Macaca mulatta: one gene and its partner. The protein of the gene in region 2 interacts with the protein of the main gene of each other region in a pairwise test. Links are inferred from orthologs where the notes say so. Each region holds a gene or a part of one and is shown on either strand. Other genes may lie near its edges.

The links. The genes of interacting proteins can lie anywhere in the genome.
Region 1: the proteins of PEX16 (region 2) and PEX3 interact in binary tests that used the Homo sapiens proteins (3 or more experiments, as listed by UniProt). The link is inferred for Macaca mulatta from reciprocal best matches to the Homo sapiens genes PEX16 and PEX3.

Annotation. Positions count from the first base shown.
Region 1 is NC_133409.1:48,705,995-48,710,285, forward strand, and holds the start of PEX3 (peroxisomal biogenesis factor 3), read left to right. Parts: upstream 1-1,427; 5' UTR 1,428-1,611; coding exon 1,612-1,684; intron 1,685-4,291. Other genes in the region: ADAT2 (tRNA-specific adenosine deaminase 2), read right to left, coding at 1,135-1,230. UniProt on the Homo sapiens protein: Involved in peroxisome biosynthesis and integrity. Assembles membrane vesicles before the matrix proteins are translocated. As a docking factor for PEX19, is necessary for the import of peroxisomal membrane proteins in the peroxisomes.
Region 2 is NC_133419.1:19,705,866-19,708,979, reverse strand, and holds the end of PEX16 (peroxisomal biogenesis factor 16), read right to left. Parts: intron 1,844-3,114; coding exon 1,779-1,843; intron 1,188-1,778; coding exon of another isoform or gene 1,129-1,187; exon of another isoform or gene 1,057-1,128; coding exon 965-1,056; 3' UTR 539-964; downstream 1-538. UniProt on the Homo sapiens protein: Required for peroxisome membrane biogenesis. May play a role in early stages of peroxisome assembly. Can recruit other peroxisomal proteins, such as PEX3 and PMP34, to de novo peroxisomes derived from the endoplasmic reticulum (ER).

The DNA.
Region 1 (4,291 bases), on a different chromosome or scaffold from region 2:
GTCTCTCAATTGTATTATAAACACCTAGGGATGTGATTCCATAGTTTACCTCCTCCTACACAAGACTAAGGAGGCAGCTGCTTCTTGGGTTTTGGCATATACATGTTTCTTCAAGGTGTTAAAGGGAAAAAAGTACTTGTTAGGAGGGCTACATGTCACTAGGCAATAGGAACTTTTCAGCTCCGTTATAATCCTATAGGACCACCGCTGTATATGTGGTCCTATAGATTATAACGGAGCTGAAAAGTGCTAGCGAGCTTCTTAACTGGGATAACAGTTTGTTTGTAAACGTATGCAAATGTATTTACTTGTGCTAGCCCAAGGTCAACCTAAAAGGTGGCAAAAAGGTTTAGCCCAGAAGTCTACATAGAGACTAGTGTTGTCTACCTCCATACCACCCTGAACGTCCCCCAATCTCGGACGCTGAGCAGGGTCAGGTCTGGTTAGTACTTGGATGGGACAATAGGGCTAAGGTGAGTAGATTTAATGCTCCAGAATAACGACCTTTACAGACAGGTCATTATGTGGCACGTGGCTGTATGTACAGTTATTAAAATGTAAATATACATATTTGCAAACAAACTATTTTCCCAGTTAAGAAGCTCGCTAGCACACACCATTCTGTTGAAAGCCCCCTTTACTCCGCAGACCTGAAGGGAGTGAGGGAAGGACGTAAAAGGGCAGAGGAAAGAATGAATGAATGCGAGACACCGATTCTACAGGTATTTGTTTCCATACTGCTCTCTACCAGAAACGTTCTCAGTTTCCTTCCTTCTGCTGGACATGGTCCAGGGGCCAAAACCTCAAATAATGTGATGTTGTAGATTGGAGAGTGTGACCACAGAAAGGAAAGGGAGGCAGCACGTGCCAGCCAGCGACAGAATGCTAAGTCTGCAGCATACTCCACCCCAATGAAACAAATAATTTCTGTATTTCCTCCCTTTCCTTCGCCCATAGTCACTGTGAGAATGGGCTACAGAAAGTTTCGAGGCAGTAAAGCCAGTAGTTCACCCAGAACATCTGACTGCCATAAAAATTATGGTGACGAGAAAGAACGTTTGCTCAAATGCCGTGGTTGGGGTGAGGGCTGGAGAAAGGTCCCACCCCGCAGCATTCACCTCCCGGGCTCCTCACCATGTGCATTGCCTCCTCCATCCACTTTTCGGTCTCTTCTGCCGACACCGAGCACGCGCCGCCTGCAGCTGACTTGGGCGCCGCCTTCGCCTCCATACCCGGCCACCACTCAGCGCCAAAGGCCGCCGCGGAGGAGGAGCGCGGGCAGCGGAACGCGGCGGGCCCGGGCCCCCGTTTCCGGGGGAGTCGAATGGAAAGGCACTCGGGAGCGATTTCTGAACGGACCTGGGCGTGTCGGACCAGTGAGCAGCGGCGGCTGCGCCGCGGCAGCCGCAGAAAGCGCAGCTGCTTTGCTCTAGTCCACGCCCCCTTGCCGCTCCGGTGACAGTCTGCGGAAAGCCACGTTTGTGATTTCGGGAGAGCGCAGAGCGGGACGGCGGCGCTCTTGCTTGGTCATCTGGGCCAGGTGACGAAGAAACAGTTTCCCGGTGAAGCAGCCCCTCACTCATAGTCAGCGCACACCCCTAGGGCCTAAAGATGCTGAGGTCCGTATGGAATTTTCTGAAACGCCACAAAAAGAAATGCATCTTCCTGGGCACGGTCCTTGGAGGTGGGTGACAACGTTCTTGAAAGTGGGCATTGGGAGAAGGGAGTGGGAGAGGTGACTTTTTCTAAAATAAGAACAGGCCGGGGCGAACCTAGTCTGGGATCTGTAGAGGGGATTCGATCAACCATGGGATGGAAAGGGAGGTGGCCAACCTCAAGGGTTCTCCCATCTCTGCAGTTGAGAAATGCCTCTGTGCCCTTTGCCCTGTCACCGCCTCTTAACTGTTTCTCACCTATCCTTTTTTCTCACGGACCTTTGGAGAATTCAGTACAGTTTAAGTTTCTGTTACAGGAACTTTTTTTAAAAAATTCTGCTTTCCTGTGAGATTCTTCATTTCTCCTTGGCACTCTTGGCACTATGGCTCTCACCCTTCTCAGGAGTTTAATAATAATCTAGGGGAGGTGGTTTAATAATAAATGATAAATAAATAAATAATAATAAACTCTCAGGAGTTTAATAATAATCTAGGGGAGGGAGTTTAATAATAATCTAGGTGGTGGTTAAAGTCGATTTGAATTTTTGAAAACAGCGCAGTTGTCCTGAAGGACTGAAAGAGATGGATTAGATAAAGAAAAACAAATCAATATTTTAGCTCTGTTTCTGCCATTTTAGAATACAAACTGTGGCAGTAAGAAAAATGCTTGAGGGATGTTGCGCAGTCTTCCTCAGGATCTTCAAGGTTGGGATCATTGTAATCTAACTGACATAGCTGAGTTGCACGGGCCCAGAGGAGATTTAGAAACAGATAAGATAAAAATCTTGAGACCCTTTTCCCTCATACAATGCTCATGTGATAATATTCAGGGATTTGAAGGAGGGAATAAAAAGCTTTGTGAATTATATGAAAAGAACATCTAGGAACTTTAAAAGAGGAAATTTGTTGTAACTTGAGTTTTTGAGAAATATTCTTATCACTTATTATGTGCTGTGTTTACAGAAGTACTTAAAGAACAGAGGTTCCCAAAGAATTTGGTTGGCTTTTCTCTTAGTATTAGATTGTATTCTGTTCTCCCCAAACAATTTGAAATTAACAATACATATTAGATTGTATTCTGTTCTCCCCAAACAATTTGAAATTAACAATACTTATTAGATTGTATTCTGTTCTCCCCAAACAATTTGCAATTAACAGTACCTTTAGCATCAATAGTTCAGATTTTGGTGATGCTTCAAAGTTTGAAACAGAGTTCTTGTTGCTGAGCCAAGGATGGTGTTTGCATGCCTCTGACATCTATCACAGATCAATAATAAGCGTGTAAATTTTGAACATCTTTGAGAAATCCTTTATATATAAAAGGTATTTTCTGATATCTTCATTCTCTAGTATCTAATGTATATTTAAATTATCCTAAGACTACCGAGTCCATTTTATTTATAAAAGCTAAAAATAGATGTGTGATTGAAGCAATACAAATAAAGTATTTTTGCCTTTACCGAAGGAAGGAAAATTATCTCTAACAATCTCAGAAGGAATACTCCTTCAGCTTATGGAACAACCTTGTGGTAAATTAGAAATAATCACAGGGGAAGCAAAAGAGTAGACTTAAAAGAAATTTATAATTAAAAAAAAAAAATCTAACAAGAGCCTTATAGTTACAGAATAAGAGGAATGCAAAAAAAGAAAAGTTTAGACGGATAGAAAGAGAAAATAATCCTAGTGTTTTATATCAATAAAGGAGTCAGTCTGAAAAGAAAGGAAGAGTAGATGACCATGGTTGGCATTTGTTTGAGCCTTGTATTCTTTCTGCTTCAGGGAGAAAGTTCTACAGTATGTTAGATTTTAATTAATCTGACTTAAGAAATATTTATCAAGTACCTGTAGTGCTGAAAGTAATATGTATGGAAATACAAGATTTATAGATTTTTAATAGTAACAGCTACTATTTATTGGGAGCCCACTTTACACTGGGCATTGTGCTAAGCTCTTCCTATTTAGGCAGAATGACAAGAAGGCAGTTATTATTATCCCCATTCAAAAATGTGGCAACAAGAGCCCTAAGAATTTAAGAAACTTGCCTCAGGTCTCAGAATTAGTGAAGGGAAACTGGAATTCAAACCCAGGTGTGTTGGACCCCAAAGCACATTCTCTTTCCACATTATATCACTGTGCTTCCATGGTCTTTATGGTCTGATAGGAAGGAAAAGCAAGTATACATGTAATTAAGATACAGAAAAACAAGAGAGGTGAAAAAATGCTGTACAGATCACACTGGCAAGTAGCATATACAGTTGTGAAAAATCAGGAAGAATTTCATGGAAAAAGAGACACATTTTGACAGGCTCGAAAGCTGGACAGTATATCAACAGGATGCTTGGAGAAGTTTGGTCATTCAATCGTGGGGGAAATAAGTAAGTAAAACCTTCAGTAGCAGGCCTTCTTAAGTAACAATTTCTGTTTCCTTGAATTTTAGATGGGTAACTAATTGGTTTACACCAGTTTGTATAATTTGACCAGTTTGGGGTGTTTGGGTGTGTTCGGTTTTTGTTTTTGTTTTTTTTTTTTTTTCAGACAGGGTCTTGCTCTTTACCCAAGCTAAAATACAGTGGTGTGATCATAGCTCACTACAGCCTTGATTTCTCCTTTGCTAGCTTTACAATGTAAGGCAAGTA
Region 2 (3,114 bases):
CCCAAGCCCCCAGTGTGGCACCTGCATCCACGTGCCTGTCTCCTCTGTTGGTGAGAGGCGGAGGACAGGGGTCCGTGCTTCACTGCTGGTTTCTGATGGCTGGGCATGTGCCCAGAAACGCCTGTTCCACTAAGCTGGAGACCATGGGAGCCCAGGCAGCCCCTGTGGGTGAGGGCCTGGGGGGCGCTCCTCAGAGGGCCCTGAGGAAAGCAGCGTGTCTGGGAGGAGCTGAGGCATGGAGGACCCAGGTGCAGATGGAGCCCTCTCTGTGGGTTTGAAACTCTAGCAGGAGAGGCTGGCTCTTCACAGGGCCAGTGGCTGAGGACAGGCTAAGGTCAGGGAGAAGAGCAGCCTGCAGCCCACCCCGTCCAGGCCCTCCCCCATAGCAGCTTACATGGCTCCAAGTGGACCCGACCTCTGGAGCCTGTAGGGCGAGTGTGGGGAACCCCCGCTCATACCCCCTGAACTGGCCCTGGCTTCCTCCCCAAGCCCGTCCAGCTCCCACTTCCTCCCCAGTACTGGCCGGTGCCGGACGTCCTTTTTCTAAGGAAGAAAAGCCTTTTACTCTCAACCAAGGATGCAGGGCTTGAAGTGCCACTTGCGTGGGAGCCAGGCTCACTGTTCACCAGGCTCTGTCATAGGGAGGCTGACAACACCATGGCCTTGGGCTGCCAGAGCCACACGGCCCTGCAGAGCAGGGGCAGGCAGAGGGCCCCGGCCATAAGACACGCTGGGCAGCGTTCAGGCATCACCCAGGTTCAGCCTTCCTGCCCTCACCAGGGGCCAGCGAGAGAGCAGCAGTGTTCGCTCCTGTGGCTGCCGAGGCAAGCGGCTTCCCAGGCTCCATGAGGTGAAGTTACCGCTTTCTGTGGGAGAGGAGGCTGGATTCCACTCCTGGTGAAGGCTTCTTGGCCCAGCAGTGACAAGGTGCGGGTTGCAGTGGCATCGTCACAGGAGGGCGCAGTCAAGAGGGTCCCGGGAAGAACGCTGGTGGCGACCAGGGCTGTGTGCAGGGCCTGGCCGGTAGGCACGGAAAGGCCGCACGCTGGGACGCTGCTGGAGTCAGTTTTATTAGGGAAGGGGGCCCCCTGCCCCGCCCCTCCCCACACCCTCCTTCCGGGAGGTCTGTCAGCCCCAACTGTAGAAGTAGATTTTCTGCCAGGTGGGCAAGTAATCCATGAGCGGCCCTGCAGTGGGAGAGGGACACGTCAGGGCGGGCCAGACCCCAATCTGCGCTGTGGCGCCACATACAGCACCTCACCCCTGCGGCCCAGGAGCCCGGCTGGCTCTCTTGCCCTGCCCCTAGGGAGGCAGCATTGCAGGGGACTCTGGCACCATTTACAGACGAGGACCCTCAGGCCGAGGGAAGCTCAGCCAGGGTAGGCACTGAGGGGCCTGAGTCCGGTCCAGTCACCCAGTGCAAGCCCAGTGGGCCTCTGCTGAGGGAGGATCTCAGCAGCCCGGTGGACTGCTTCTCCACCACTGAATCCCCCCACGATGACATGGTCCCGTATTGCTCCAGGATACTGTGACCAGAAAAAGGCTGGCAGCTGATGTGGTCTAACAGTCGCCCCACCACTGGACACCCTCCTTCCAGCCACCCCTGGCTCCTCAGGCCACCCTGGCTTTGGCCAGGGTAGTCCCACCCAATCCTGACTTCCCGACTTCCTCTCCTGACTGTGCCAAGAATCGAATTGCAAGGAGACACAGGAGTCAGGAAGATGGGGCACGCATGCGCCTCCCAGCACTACAGTCATCACGTCCCCGCCCCAGCTTACTTGTGACCAGGCCAACGCCAGGGATGTGGTCGGCCAGCAACTGGAGCAGGAAGAGGATCCTGGCCCTGGCGGAAGCAATAAATGGGGAGCAAGTTGAGTTGGGGGGGTCCCTGCAAACCAGGAGGCCCAGAGGCCTTCGCTTTCGAACGCAGCGCATTCCCAAAAACAAAGGTGACTTTTTTGGGAGCTAGGAGAGAGCCCGGTACACACGGGCGAGACCTCTGGGGTTGGCTCTGGCCTCCACGCCTTCCACCAGCTCAGCTTCGGGGTGGCCGCTGGCCCACAACACCTCCTCCCATTCCTCCTTTAACTTCCACCGACATCCAACACCAAAGGCCTCTGGAGGGTCATGTGTGGAGCAGCGCCCGGGCAGTATGGAGGCAGGTTCAGGGAAGACAACCCCACCCTGCCCTCGGGAAGCCCCCAATCTGGCAGAAGCGCTGGCCTGCATGGAAACCTCATAAGCCACCACCAAGAGCAGTCAGGACCCTGGGAGGAGACACAGTACTGAGGAGGGCACATTTTGGTTCAGGGGAAGGGCAAGGGCCAAGGCCCTGATTTTTAAGAGATGAGGGTTTTCCACAGGGGAACTCGGGTGAGAAGAGGATGCTGATGACAATACATAGTGCTAGGTGCTTACTACGCCCCACGCACTGCCGTATGCGTTAGTCACTGAACCTCCGAAAGTGGGTGCTGTCATTATGCCCACCTTACAGGTGAGGAAATGCGGCACAGGGCATCAAATAACTTGCCCAAGGCCACACATCTGGAAGGCAGCCTGGCTCCTTATGTGTCTGTCTGAGCAGCAAGAAAAGAGGAAGGTTGGCCGGGTGCAGTGGCTCACGCCTGTAATCCCAGCACTTTGGGAGGCCAAGGCGGGCGGACCACCTGTGGTCGGGAGTTTGAGATCAGCCTGACCAACATGGAGAAACCCCATCTCTACTAAAAAATACAAAATTAGCCAGGCATGGTGGCGCGTGCCTGTAATCCCAGCTACTCGGGAAGCTGAGGCAGGAGAATTGCTTGAACCCGGGAGGCGGAGGTTGCGGTGAGCCGAGATCACGCTGCCAGCCTGGGCAACAAGAGTGAAACTCCATCCCAAAAAACAAAAGAAAAGAGGAAGGCCGGCTGGGCGCAGTGGCTGTAATCCCAGCACTTTAGGAGGCCAAGGCAGGCCTTTGTTTCCCCAAAGGACAGGGAGCAGGGTCCAGAGAGATGCCAGGGTACAGTCCGGAAGGAGCAGCCTTAAGTTTTTTTTTTTTGTTTTAAAAAAAGAGACGGTGTCTTGCTCTGTCACCCAGACTGGAGTGCACTCACACGATCTCGGCTCACTGCA